Linked DNA regions of Neodiprion lecontei. The protein of the gene in region 2 purifies or fractionates together with the protein of the main gene of each other region. This does not show direct contact. Links are inferred from orthologs where the notes say so. Each region holds a gene or a part of one and is shown on either strand. Other genes may lie near its edges.

Region 1 (7,555 bases), on a different chromosome or scaffold from region 2:
TGATAAATATTCCTGGTACTTTCTCAATTCCTCCACCAGCGGAAGGGGGTAATACTCTCACACTACTCCCATCTCTGATGTAAAAACCGAGAGGCTTATCTGAACCGTGCTTCAAAAGCCGAACACGTCTGCACGTCTCTGGCAAAATATCCACATCGATGATAGCGGAAACCTATGAAGATGTTGGTATAAGTTTGTACTGATTATTAATTATTTTCCATGTTAATCATGGTTAACCGACAATTGCAAAAGTTACATGTATCGTTATTCGATGAACAAACCTGTCTGAAATCATGGGGATTCGATATTGCCAAAGATTTTGGTTTCCCAGGTGTTCCACCTAAAATACTTGATATTAAATTCCGTGGTTTCATGGTTCCATACCCATTCATTTCTTCCAAACTGTCCCCTGCAAACATAATTAATAGAATAAAAATTATTACCAATAATTAATATTATGTAATTCAATTTGAATATCATACTACCCTAGTAGCATTCTGAGGTAAGCCTGCCTACCAGCTGCAACTGCAGACTCTATGCGTCTACTTTCACATTTGACTGCGGGTCTGACGTTAGAATCTGCATTATTCGAAATCTTGCAGAAGTCTGATGTCAGGTAGCAAGATGCCGCTGTCAGGGAAGATTCTGAATTGACTCTGTAGAAAGACTTCCCACAGTCTTTTCAAATTTTTGCAACTGAAGGCAACGCTACTAGGGTAGTTTTGGTCATCATATTCAAATGAGATGTATCATCTTATATATTTGAAAATAGGAAACAGGACTAGGTATTTATAGTGTGTACTATTAAAATGATAAGATATTGCTTTAATCAAAAATTTATGTAAGCCCTTGTGGTTAGATTGTGAAAATATTACCTGTTTATTTAATCATGAAAATTGTAAGAATTTATCATTAAAGTAAATAGCTTTCATAAATAAGCTGACATTGCCATTAGAAATTCCAGTTGCCTTTTATATATAGCGACAATTGTCTTGAATAATTTTACATGCAAATCACGTTCGACTCAGACATTATGGCTATCGCCTTCCACAAAAGGCAACAGAAAGGTATGCTTGGAATGCTCATTTGAAATCAGTAGATCATATTTTCAAACCAAACGCACATAATGTATAAAGATATGTAGGGCATCTGCTATTCACAAAGAAGCATTCCATAGGACTTACTAATGTATAGATCAAGGCTTATCACATAATAAGTATGTGAGTGAAAAATCATGCGTAGAAATTGATTGTAAAATGAACGCCCCCTTTCGACTCAGATTCATTCTGATTCAATGATTGAATATAGTTCCAATAACGTATACAGAAAGATATTATAAGAAATAAAAGAATTTTACGAGAATGAAAATACTGCTAGAGATTGGGAAGCTTATCTATTTAATAATATCTTATTAAATTATATGACCAAAATAAAAAAAAAAAGATTGATGTTAGTGGTCGATTCAATATCTTGCAGTAATCGTCCACTAACTTTTCATTAATTGACAAAGAAACCAAAATTATAGTTTCAGCACTGGGGGCTACCAAACTTTTGTTAGTTTCAGAAGTACACGAAAAAATATTTAAAAAATTACGTTTTCTTTCATATCAGCAATAAGAGTTTACAGTAACAGAAAATAAACCACAGTGTCAAAGTTATTTCCATAATTAAATTTTATTATAAAAAATTTGTACAATCACAGGATTAACACATTTGAGATAGAAATTGGTAAGCATAACAAAAAAAAATTTGATCTAAAGTACCCCTAATTAACTAGTAAGCTTGCAACATCAAACGTAGGTTAAATTTGTTAAAGTATGCCGTGATGAGTGTATGTAGCTTATAGTTACAAAATACATTATATGTATGTATAACAATTATGATTTTAATAACCAACATATAGATCATTCAGCTTTTGAGCAAAGCTAAACCTAACAAGAAAAATATGGCACTGTGTTTAGGTTCTGTGGTTATATATTTAGTAAGAGAAATCTCGAGGTAAAAGCTAAGCTAGATATATTTTATACCGACATTAGTTTAATGGCAATTTATAGAAGATCACAGATAGTAGCAGTAAAAAATTGGTCACTCTTAATATTGTCCTCTGCAAGTTTTAATCACTTTCAATGAATTTTTAGAACCATGTGAGAATCAATTGATTACGAATAATTCGCAGTGAAATATCACTTTTTGGCAAACCGCGTATATTCTTTCAACCAATATAAATTACACACATCAAACAGCCACTGGCCAAAGGCACCCCAAAGCTGTACTCCGTCGCATTTTCATACACCAAAAGCCTGCTGGCCCATTCTGTCCCATTGTACCACAACTACTGCCTTTCGCACACAGAATAAATATTGAAATTAAAAGAAATCTCACAACCGTAGATAAAATCTACCTCGATGCAAGAATGCAATAATGGTCAACAACTTATAAAAATATCCAAGAGGTTGGAATATATAATGTTGATTTTTGCATGCAAGATAACCAGATAAGATCCCATTCAGTTATCGTACACAAAATTATGAAACTCTCTCGCAACACGTCTGTTATTGCTCAAACTTACAAAAGCAGCAAGTTAATAATACACTCTCCGTTTCAAAATACTAATGGATGGCGAACGGTAGATAAAAATGCTGTTGAATTGCACCGAGGTATCGAAATGGCCAACCAACCAAAAAGATTAGATAAAACTCGAATTTACCTTTGCGTTGAATGATGATTCTGAGGACTGGCTTAGCAGTAAGCAGCGCTCTACCCAAATTATCATCGTTGTTTATAGGAAGTAGATCTCCATCTCTTGGGTCCGTGTATGAGATTAAAAAACTAAAATCTGCATCCAATTGGTGTAACTTTGCCAGAAGATTTTTAAAGTCCTCATATCTAATTGTTTCATTTCTGTTCAGCGAGAATCTTCTGAATTCAGCGTCAAACTGCACATAAAAGAAAAAATTGTTTAAAATCATTACACATTATCACAAGATACAAATACATAATTATATTATAACTAAGAACAAGAACGCATTGTACTTTTTAAAAGAAAACATCGCAATATCGACGTAGCTAAAAATATGTTAGACAATGGTCGTGCTTCGAAATAATATCAGGAACCATACTCCTACTTTCTGGTTTTATTTTTTATTTTTATTTTTTTTTTCTCAATGCAATTAAAATTTAAGCTGTGTAATGAAGTACATAGCTGTAAAGAGAATCGGTGAAGCTAGACGATTGGAAAAAAAAATAGAAACACACTATTCTTGATGAAATCATAAAATTGGAACGAGTCACAAGCCCTTTCTATGACATAGAATGCACTGAATGACTCATACAGTTTGAAGAAATATTTAAAAAGAGTAATCTGAGCACAGTGACTAAGTCAGGTATCTGATTAATGAGATGAAATACATATGATTTCTATGCGTTAATAAATGGATCATTGGAATTGGTTAAAGATCATTGATGACTGAGGGTAGAAGAGGGGCCTCACCTTACTCTTCACTTCGACGATGCCGTTGTCCACGCGATGGTGGAGTTTATTCTTTGACATGGTCTATTTGAGAGAGAAAAAAAGAATCTCAGCAAAACCCCTGTCGCCGAGGGCGAAAATCCATAAACAGAAAATAACCCGTACAACACGTAGGGACGCGAGTTGTTGGTAAAGAACGCGAAACCATAGTACGAAAACAGGCAAGCTACTGAGTGATTGGTTACATATGTAGGCAGCTGGAGCGGAGAGGCGCGACGAGTCGCTGCTCGACGATACGGAATCTACCGCTGCATAGGTGTCGCCATCGTTTTACTCCGTGTTTATTATTCAAACTAGCATTCCGATTTCGAACACGGGAAGATTGGTATGAGTGCGAGCCATGTAGGAACCAAGTATGAAAAATCAGCAGCAATCAGCCATGCACTTTCCAAAATTGTCACCTCCGAGGATCAAATTTAAAAGCTCCGTCAAATCTTTTCTAGTTATAACCGTCCTCACTTCGGCAATTTTGATATCTCAAGATCGTCTCACACACGGAGCAAAATGTCGTAAGAATTTCCCGCGAGCGAATGGAATGTGAAGACACCGTGTATATACGTCTCAACTTGCTCTCAACTACGCTTGATGTCAAACAACCGTCGAACCGTCAACAGTCACGCACTTAGTATTTTTCAGAGGCATTCTAATCATTACTAGCGAGTAGCGATGGTAGAGACTACTCAACTTACGCTCCTATATCTAGATGCGTAGTTCATCACCTGAAAATGCAAATACGATGATTCTTGAGTAGTGACGACAGGTGGCAGAAAATACATATGCATCGGAAAACAACAAGATAGGTTAAGCTAATGAAATAATACGGAAAAAATATATGAAATGAAAGAGGAGAAATTTGTTGTAGAAACATGGTTAAATACATTTGTTGTACAGTCTATCTATATAAGCGTATGGTCCGTTGACTGAAGACACATAAAAACTGCTTCCTTTATGGGACTTTTCGTAATTGAAAATGCCCAACATAAATTCGTCGCCAAGCAGCGCCCTCTGCGTCCTCCCCTACACGCGCAACTCAATCCGGTAAGCGGTCGGTAACCCAGATAATACAGAGTCGAATAATAATATGCCTATAGAATGACAAACGGGAATAGATTGAAATTTTCATATAACCCCGTATGGACGCCGTATCTTCTTAAACGAACAAAATTTGAAAGTCATTTCTAAGACCCGGTTTTGAATGAGCTTCGTTTTTTTTTTTCATCGGTTATCACGGGATACGTGCTAATTTGGTATGCAAATATAGTGTTTTATTGTAACATTAACTTGTGTCGACTGCGAAAGGTCAAACAGGGGAGAACGATGTTGAAATTGTCAAACTCTAAATTGCCAAAGGTATCTATAATGCACCTCGTTGTCTTTAATTAAGAAACGAAATTTATCAAAAACAAACATGTATTTACGTCGAATTTACTCTGACTAAACTAGAGAAATCCGAAGGTATTACGATTCCACATGCGTTACACATTATCAAAGCATGACTTTATTGACAATGAATTAAATTTACGCAAGAATAAAATTGTCACTTCGAAAACTAAAATATATTAGTATTTGAACAGTGAAATAAGTTCACATATGCTCGTTTCCACACCACCGCAAGCGGTAGAGCACCCGGTGCGTTTTTTTTTACGTGGTATCCCCAGTAGGCCTACTCCACGGAGAATACTTGCAAGATCGATCTTACGTTCTTCGAAAAATTGCAAATGACTCTTTTCACATGTGATTTATGGTAAATTGTTTTCCCCAATCAATTTTTTTCTTCTAAATTTTTTAGATCATATAACCCACGGACCATTTATTATCGATGAAAGATGACTGTTCTAATTACGGATGAAAGATGGTTATTTTAATTATGGATGAAGGGTGATTGATTTTATCTTATAGGCGAACGGTGATTGACTTTGGATGTTCGCGCACGGTTTTTTTTATGAGATATGAGATCATCACTAAAACAGAGAACCCGGAGAATACGCAAAACTGGAATTACGAATCGCTGTAAGACGTTGGCATTTACCTCTCGGAAGACAATGCAGAAATCTTTGAAGAAACAGAGACAATTCGGAGTAGAGAATGAGCACAACCACCAGAATATGACAGACCTGTATAATTCTACAGTGAAATACAAACCGAACATGACCTATGAGCGACACGAGAAAAAAACTGACTCTAAAACGATCGCAATACAAGACTGTAAAACCATTAAAAGAAACTATAGCTGAATAAATTTTACCACACTTTGTCATCATGATGATTCTAAACTACATCGCTAAATCTATGTAACGGTCAAAACAAGATGACTGATGCTGCACCAAACCTAAGCCTCAAAAATAAAGCGTTAATTTTACAGTATAGTCAATATAACTCACTTAGCTGGAACAGATTGAAATATAATTAACGGAAAGAGACAAATTGAAACAGACAAAAGGTTTGATAAGCTGAAACAAACAAAAAGATTGATTAGCTGAAAGAAACAAAAAGATTGATTAGCTGAAACAGACAAAAAGTTTGATTGGCTGAAACAGACAAAAGGTTTTATTAGCTGAAACAGACGAAGGTATGGTTAGCACAATCACATAATATTATATAATATAATATTATATATATATAATTGAAACAGACAAAAGGTTTGATAAGCTGAAACAAACAAAAAGATTGATTAGCTGAAACAGACAAAAAGTTTGATTGCCTGAAACAGACAAAAGGTTTAATTAGCTGAAACAGACGAAGGTATGGTTAGCACAATCACATAATATTATATAATATAATATTATATATATATAATTGAAACAGACAAAAGGTTTGATAAGCTGAAACAAACAAAAAGATTGATAAGCTGAAACAAACAAAAAGATTGATTAGCTGAAACAGATAAAAAGTTTGATTGCCTGAAACAGACAAAAGGTTTAATTAGCTAAAACAGACGAAGGTATGGTTAGCACAATCACATAAGTTCATACACCGACAAAAATGGTTCGCATCCAACATGATATTCGCTTTGATATTCGTTGCTTCGATTATTAATTGTATCGATGAATAAAAAACATTCTAAATGTTTTGAATCGACAGCTCTTTTTGCTTTGAGTCATTACAGTGAATATCTTTTTTGACTGAACATTCTATAGTTCTCAGTGCATTTATTAAAAAATTGGATTTGTTGCCCTGAAACGGAAAATATTACGATCAGTTAAGCACGTATTTCAGTACATTTCAGATATATTTCATATATAATTACGTCAAGATTCTCCACTATCAGTATAAACTACCGCGATTTTTGTTCCTGCGCGTTGAGCACCGGCTTCCAAATGCCGCGCTTTCTCTAATAACTGAAAAGCATCAAGTCCACGCGCAAAGGCGCTGTGGAACTTGAAAACTTTGTTATTCGTCAAAAATTCAACGAAGAGCTGAAAAATCAGCACGTCAAGAGTGCGTAACTCTTATATATAAACTGTACGCAAAATCAACGCACAGAAAAACGTGTCCGATTCCCGTTATTAATTTACGCGCATAAAGCTGCGTCCAATTCTCGTGAATAATCTACGCGCAATAAGGCGCGACAGATTAAACTGTCAAAAACTTTGTATTTTCTGGGACTTGTCCCAAAAATTCTGTAGAAACCCAATCCGCATCTGCATCTTTTAGATATCAGATACATTGCTATGCGGATTGTGGTTCTCAGATTACAAATAAAATTGAAATTGGGAGGGAGATTGGAGGGCATGCATTATTGTGTGGCGTGACGGTCGGCGGTCCTCTTCGACGCGAAGTCTTCGAGCTCAACATCTCTCCCCATCTAGCGTACCACGGAACGCGATAGATGGTCCAGAGATGCGTTTTGCCCATTCAGACGATCACAGAGATCAATCGAATGGAATAACGATCTGTAATGACTAAATAATTGAATTGCATAACGATTGAAAAATGGTTGCTGAGTGACAAGAAATTAAAAATTCAATTTCGTCAATATTCAAATGCTTTCAAGTGGTCGAGAGACTCGAATACGGAGTCTTTTAG
Region 2 (7,653 bases):
ATGGTCCATAGAGGGTTGTGGATTCTGGCACAGTGTCGTTCCCAGCTCCCCAAAATGCGTACGAACCATCATTGTGTGAAGATACAAAACGAGTCTCGGAAACCCAGTAGATAGATTCCAGCTGTTGGGTGGAGACGAATGTCTGCGCACGCGAAAATAAACCCATCAGCTGCACACGTTCACCGAAACCACGAAAGACACAAACAACAGTCAGAAAATGCGTCGCCAGCACTAAACGAAAACTAACTTTGCACAATCGATTTACGTAGCTAATCTTCAGCCATCTACTCGATGCATACACTGTATAATATCCAACTCTGAACGGTCATTACAGTTCTATATTTTAGCTCCAAAGTCTCAATGTAGTGACAATTGTGAAAATTAAATTTAAGAGTATGCTGGTACAACATATAAAATTTTTTTATCACTTGAGTATACTTCATGGTTTAAAGTTAAACGCGAGTTTTCGCACCAAGATATTCAATTATATTTACGAAACTACAGAATACACGCAGCAAATGAAATTGAAAATAAAAAATAGAAAGCTACTGGTATTTGATAATATAAGAATTCTGATTGTGGCGGACAATTATTATTCAATTGAAATAAGAAAGCTTGACGCAACAAATAGTTAATAGATTAACAATAGGGTGTATTACTTAATTTTGATCATACTCTCAACTCACCTGTTGGGCTCCGGGTGTAGCTTTGTTCCACAAAACCATGAGCCCACGATTGTATCCAATTAAAATATTATCTGGATGTCCAGGTTGCTCGGCTATGGCCTCCACTGCTCCAGGATTTATTTTGTAATCCTCCGGGACACTGCGTGAATTTTATGCAATTTTTATTCCAGTATTCATGTAATTAAAACGGAAATATTCGGGATCATGATCATAATCTATTTTGCAAATACGAGTCATTTGTTCAACTCTTCAAGATTTAGTAACTCCTTATAACTTCCAGTAATTAGTACTAGATACACTACTCACTTTTGCATCACAACATCCTGATAAATGATATTATCAGAAACTGTAAATGACTTTAGATTCAATAGATAAATATTTCCTCCTTCTGTCCCTAGTAATAGATGATCCCCGTTGGATTCCAAACACATTGCAGAGATTTTTTTCAACTTTCCTTCAAGGGAAAGTGATTTTGTTTCAACCAAAGAACTCTCATTGATCTCCCACAGGTGTAGAGAGTTGTCGTCGCAAAGCGATACAACACGTCCCTAAAAAATAATTTCAAAAATTTTTCCATTTCTGCAATAGCAACCAATTAACAAAGTTGAAGGTGGTAACATTATTATAACAAAACGTTGGATAGAAATTCACTGTTTTCCAGTTTTCAATCCCTTCAAAGAAACTTAAATTTGAAAATATGAGTGTGATTTGTTTTATTACGATTTGCTGTATTTCAAACAATTCGAAAGTCGCAAAAAAAATAGTTCTACAAAATGAATCGTTTGAATAACGTTAGTAACTTCAGCATGTTGCCATTCATCAATTGTTCAAACACATAGCTCGCTAACAATTAATTATTACAAGTAAAGTTACAAGTAATAAGAAAGATTTGTCTAGATGGTACGGTACAGGAATAGCATATATGTAAACCACCCCTACACATTAACGGCTTATGTAACATTTTGTGGTGATCGTGAGTGCAAGAAGGTGTCAGATTACCTCGGTGCACGTGTATGACTTTTATAATAACACTTCACAGCTTTATGCTTTTACTTCTCTGTATAGTCGTCAACAGAAATTAAAGTTTATTTTCATTCCCTTGGGTTACTTAATTTATAGCAGTGTCATGCAGGCAGTTTTTTGTTTTTTCCATTTTTGATGGATGCGTTTACCAAAGCGTGAAAAAAAAAAAATTTAATCACAAAACTATAAAAGAGGACCATTGTGCTCACCTCGTTTGGTATAGCAATGATTTTGGTGACTGCATTTTCACCGCTTTCCGTTGTGTGTTGTCCGTAAAATTCCACACCAGGCCTTCCAAAACTGTGATTTTATATCACAGGTATCGGTTAAGGAAAATACATACTCCTACCTAATAGAGATTGTATCCACGTTAAATGCTACCAACGGATTTTTCACCACAGCTGATAAAATATTTCCCAGAAAAGTGAACACATTAGAGTGTTGGTTTTATAATACCTGATCGCAATGCTGGCACAGGTACCTAAAGCTATGCGAGGGCGTCCGGTATCTTGGAATGGTAACATATTCACCGCTGATTCATCACATGATGTTTTTTCTATTTAAACTTTTTTGTAACACACTATCAGAACAAACAGTGATGGGGTTTGCGAGTAATTGAATTTCTCTCATCCATCAATAGAAAAGGATACACTTTGATGGCTCCAGAAGCTGTGCCGATGATCATTAGTCGTAAACTGTAATCCCATGCGAATGCAGTGGGCTTATTAGGAAATCCATGCTGTATTGTCTGCAAAAATAATGAATATTATGACAACAAAAATCAGCATCCGGTTTTACCTGTTGGGCTGAAAAGTCTGATCAATATAGGGTAACAAGATTAATTGACTGAAAAAAAAAACATATTTTGATTAACATGTGCTTCCTATGAGTAATCTGAGAAGAGGATGACTCATATTTTGACAACTTAAATACGCTAGACCTGTTTATATATCTCATCTTACTTTTTCACTCTTTCTCGCTATCTCTGTTTTTCACATGCTGTTTGTCAATATGACAAGAAAAAAAATACACACACATTTCTTCTCAACTCATTTGCTATGCAGAATAGTTAATCAAGTTGGCTTGAACAGATCAGAGTAATAGTATGAACAGACTTATCGCACACAATTTGAAAAACGACCCGATCTAACGAGCTTAATTACTTTTAAGTGGCTCTGATTAAATATTGGAGACAAATGGAATAATAAATGATTCTATTTTTACAAGTGACATTCCACAATATAAAACTGCTTCTTACATCACTCCAATCAGTCTCAAATTGCACAGAATGTTACAAATTGCGCTGCAAATTCATACAGATGAAATTCTTTCCTGGACTCGTTTTCATTGGCAATAAATAAATACAATATTTAACATGCTCCATGCCGGATTATTAATTGTTATATCAGTGTGTGTATACCAAAATGCATCGTACGTACAATATCAGCACTTTTCTGTTACCCAAGAAAATACGAGTGATCAATTTATATATTATAGATAATAGATTTTGTGAGTCATGTATCGAAGTGTATACAAGAGATAAGAAATCGGAGCACGAATTAATATATCAGTTCAGCAATATCTCGTGTATCACATGTATCAATGTCAAAATGTATTTCGAAAAATCTTTCCCCTTCATCAATTCTTACATCAAAAATTATAAGAAAAATTGAAAACTGTTGATCATTGTTCTTTCAGAATCACATGAATGCATTATCAACAGAAGCATAACTAAATGAAACTAGCTATAGGCAATGGTTTGAAAAAAACAAAAAAAGGGAGTTATTTCTTTATGTATGGCAACGCTCTATACATAGACACTAGATACAAATACATATGTATGCGAGTAAATATTAGTTTTAAGGGCAGGGCATCTCTTATCACTGTTTTTAAACAGAGTTTTACGATAAGATAGATATCCACCAACTGCCGATAGGTATAAATGAACCATCGTTTATTGCATTAAATCTTGCTAGTTACGATTATAACAAATCAATTGCATCAACTTAGAATATTGCAGAAGAAAAGCCGATACGGTATTAAAAACCAGCGTTTGTTATCTCTAGGCCACATCATGGTTCACGCACACCTACCGACTTATCTTTTAATCAAAACTGTAACTAATTGCAAACTACAAATAACCGCATTAGGCATGGATAAAAGTAAAAAATAAAATTAACATATCAAGTTAATTTCATTATTTTTTCATTACCGTAGTATATTTGAATATGAACATTTGGTGATATAAGGGTTTAAGAACAAATAATAAAGGCTATAGCCAATTATCGCCAGACGGTATTTAAATTACAAATGAAGTTCCATTATTTGATAAATAAACTCCCAACGAAGTTTAAAACACGTGTGAATTTGGTACGGGGTTGATTAGTTCGCGATAGAAATTGATGATGAAACGAGTGCTTCCGATATTGTTGATCGGATGAATAGTTGTTAATTAATGTTTATGTTCTGCTTACCTTCCGGAAAGCGAAAAGGTCCTTTTGCAACTTCTGACGCTCAGCTGTGGGTTGCTGACCCTTCCCTCTGATAAACTTCAACATATTTCTGCGAGATGGTAATGAAAAAAAGAAAAAGAATACGTACACAACAATTCACATTTACGCTATAACGATCGCAATGTTACGATATCTCACTATTAGCTCAATTAAAACATTCTTGAATGAACGCCGAACGAGGCTAGTGCAACTCCTGAACGCCTGTTTATTGTCAGTGTGTTCGGCTCCCACGTCCTACACACGCCTATATCGCCGTGTGTCACTCGCCTGCACCGTATATACCGAAAAATATCGTACAATGGGTGAAAAAATTGAGCGAAAACACTCGCGGGCACCTCTTACCTTTTTCTATCAGAGATTTTCGCTAATTTCACGAGAGAAATTCACGTAAAAGCACGTAAAATCTCGACGAAGCGGGGCGGTAAGTCATTCCACGACTCTTGATCGCGTCGTTCGTGTTCGTCACTTCGTGTGTCGGGTCGTCCAATCGCCAAACGGTCGGCTCTTCTCGGCTCGGTCGGCGTGACGTCACGGGACCGCAACGTTATGCTCAACGCCCAACATCGGCAGGGTTCGGAGCTGTGGCCGAATTCACTCGAACAATGACCTCGAACATTTGAAACCTGTAGCGTGTGTACTCAGCGTGTGCTCGGCTCGTTTTGTGCGCATTGTATGTACAATACGTACAATGTATTTCTCTCTGCAATGTGTTGTACTTACATACATGCATACATATTCCACGAACGCTACAAACTGTTGGTGTTACGCGTATTGTATGTATGCAGTCAGTATAGGTACAAACATATACCTATAAACCAATGGCATTGCGCACAATGCGTCGACATTCGAGCATAGCAAATCAATTAACAAATGACAATATATACATTCACGAAACGATGCACGCCTTTCATTCTAGTCAGATTGTCAGGGTAACGGGACATTTCGTGGACAAACGCGTTTTCTCCGGCATGCGATGTATGTATGTACATGTGTCAATTTACGTGCCCAAAGCAACATTCTTTCATAAACGAGACGTGATCCAACAAACTGTGCGATCGGAGCACGTAATTGGCGGGTGTTACAAGTTACAGTTCAATCCGGCCTTTTTATATGTGTATATGTGTATATGTGTATATATCTATTTTGTAGCTACTGCCACCTGTAAACGGGTTCATTCAACATCCCCGCCCTGACCAAATCGAACGAATTTTCAAAATTACGACTGCGTCATGTTAATCCATCCATTAGCTGCTTTGCCGTCAATATTGACTGTGACAGAATCTTTTGATCCGAAATCCTGATTTTGAAACATATGCAGGCTTATTGTCGAACATGTTCAAATCCGGGATCGCGAAAAGAACTCTCAATTAACTTACTAGGTAGATGATTCTAGAAAATTTATGTCTTCATAGCATCGGTGTTCAGTCATTTTTCTATTGTTATTCTAAAAAAAAGGAGTCCCGCGCTTTCCGTTCGTTCTGTACGTGCTCGGCACCATTTGTTCGGCCGTTTGTATTTAAGCGATTCTACACGTTTAATCGCTACAATTTGATTTGCTATCGGGGAAGAAGACCGGAAAAAACGATCGCCGAGGAATGAAGAGAAGAATTTTCAAATAGAATATACTCATTTATCCCGTATTCGAATGATCATGAAAGATCGAGAGGCATTCTCATTACCGATTACGATCACGCATCAGGAAGTCAAGATACGTTTTGAGGAATAGTCTGCAACGATCTTAGTTCGGTCTTGTCTCCCGGGTAGAATAGTAAGCTTTGTACAGGTCAGCAGGTTTATTTTCATTCTTACGCTTACCGTCTTAGTCATTGTCAAATTAGTTGACCAGTAATTACTACCTTTTTTGTCAAGCCTTCGTCAAGTTTATCAAAGTAAGCGGTTTTTTTTTACAGTAGACTCTAATAGGCATTCTAATAAGTCCGCTACCTGAGTTTTACACGATAACAAAAATGTACCGATGCTGAGTAATGAACAGACATATCAGCTACTCTTCATCAAAATATGATATATTTGTTTTAACAGACCATTTTACAATATCTTTTCATATGCACATTTTCAAATTAATTAATTTATAATAACAATAAATAAGCGTTGTTAAATTTTGGTAGCGTACAATTGTACTTTCAGATTCATGACAAAACTAATTTCATATGCTCATGCAAAAGCTACTAATCGATAGACCAACCATTTGAAAAATTGTCAAATATAAAATTGCTACTCTTAAGTAGTCCTGTAATGATATGTCTACAATCCCTGTTATAAATTATTTTCAGCCCAACCATAGAAAATCCGGTTTTGAATGGAAAAAGATGAAAAACAGAATGTTACACACGTTTAACCGAATTCTGCATTTACATCTGCCTATCTTCACGTCTCGTATTTTGCAATAGTGTAATAGTTATTATGCTTCTCTTAAAAATTCAATTACGCATAGGTACTGCGGTAAAATGGATATTTCGACGAATAATATAACTGCTTTCCATTTATCACAAGATAATAAAATAAAAAATTTTCACATAATTAGAAAAATGTTCAATAAATATGTAATATATTTATATATATATATATAAATATAAATAATACACCTGTTATGCTGCAGTGTGCACAAGTTTGTTGACATTTCAAATATATTTATCTTAAAATTGATATCAAGTATACTTTATAAAGTCGGCGAATAGTTCACATTGAGTTAGAGAGTTCAGTTTTTTTTTTCTTCTCATGTACCTAATTGACTACACATTGAGCAGTTGAATGATTTCGAGTACTGGTGCCATTCGATACCGCAGTATTAAACATCCATCCCAAGGTACGACGCGACAAATATCCTCAGGATCTTATTGATGTTTTCTGTCGCAGCCATATCTATGTTACCTCTGTTATCCCCCGATTGGTGCCAGAAAGAGGGGAAAGGCGACGGAATTAAATGGAGTACCGGCACACCTAAAAATTTGCCATTTCAAAACACGATACAAATTTGTTTTAACTTCACTACCGCCATTCTTGGTTTGATTACTTCGGAAAAAAAAGAACCTTTGGAATAAGCAAATGCAGCTTGATCGAATTAAAACATATCTTTCTCCTCACCTCTTTTTAAAAATGGAATATGATCATCTTCGATATTGGCCCGAACTGAGTACGGCTGGAAATATGTCTGCTCAGGATTTTCGTACGAATATTTTTCCAGTCTTCGCATGGCTGCCAATTTTCTCTCCGCATTAATCAGCATCCCATACCATTTTTCTGTGTTCTCAAAATAGTTGTAAAACGTCGGGTCTGGGGCGCCTATTAAGTCCAGAAGTACTAAAACGTCCTGAAATCATTAAATTCAATCGACTTAGCTAAGAATTGTCAATATAGATACATAAACGATTTTGAATGCTATATTCAGCGCATATTGATCTTTGAATGGTCGA

The links. Proteins that work in one complex are often made in the same cells at the same time.
Region 1: the proteins of lethal(2) giant larvae protein homolog 1 (region 2) and partitioning defective protein 6 purify together in Drosophila melanogaster (affinity purification with western blotting; 5 studies listed by BioGRID, with this or other methods). This does not show direct contact. The link is inferred for Neodiprion lecontei from reciprocal best matches to the Drosophila melanogaster genes l(2)gl and par-6.

Annotation. Positions count from the first base shown.
Region 1 is NC_060262.1:27,049,039-27,056,593, reverse strand, and holds the start of partitioning defective protein 6, read right to left. Parts: upstream 4,205-7,555; 5' UTR 3,551-4,204; coding exon 3,491-3,550; intron 2,937-3,490; coding exon 2,708-2,936; intron 410-2,707; coding exon 282-409; intron 173-281; coding exon 1-172.
Region 2 is NC_060261.1:42,956,384-42,964,036, forward strand, and holds the start of lethal(2) giant larvae protein homolog 1, read right to left. Parts: upstream 4,676-7,653; 5' UTR 4,361-4,675; intron 4,272-4,360; 5' UTR 4,268-4,271; coding exon 4,184-4,267; intron 2,458-4,183; coding exon 2,360-2,457; intron 2,010-2,359; coding exon 1,919-2,009; intron 1,235-1,918; coding exon 993-1,234; intron 826-992; coding exon 687-825; intron 170-686; coding exon 1-169. Other genes in the region: glutaminyl-peptide cyclotransferase, read right to left, coding at 7,029-7,180, 7,325-7,550. UniProt on the Drosophila melanogaster protein: Essential for the development of polarized epithelia, for cell polarity associated with asymmetric cell division of neuroblasts during development, and for oocyte polarity formation.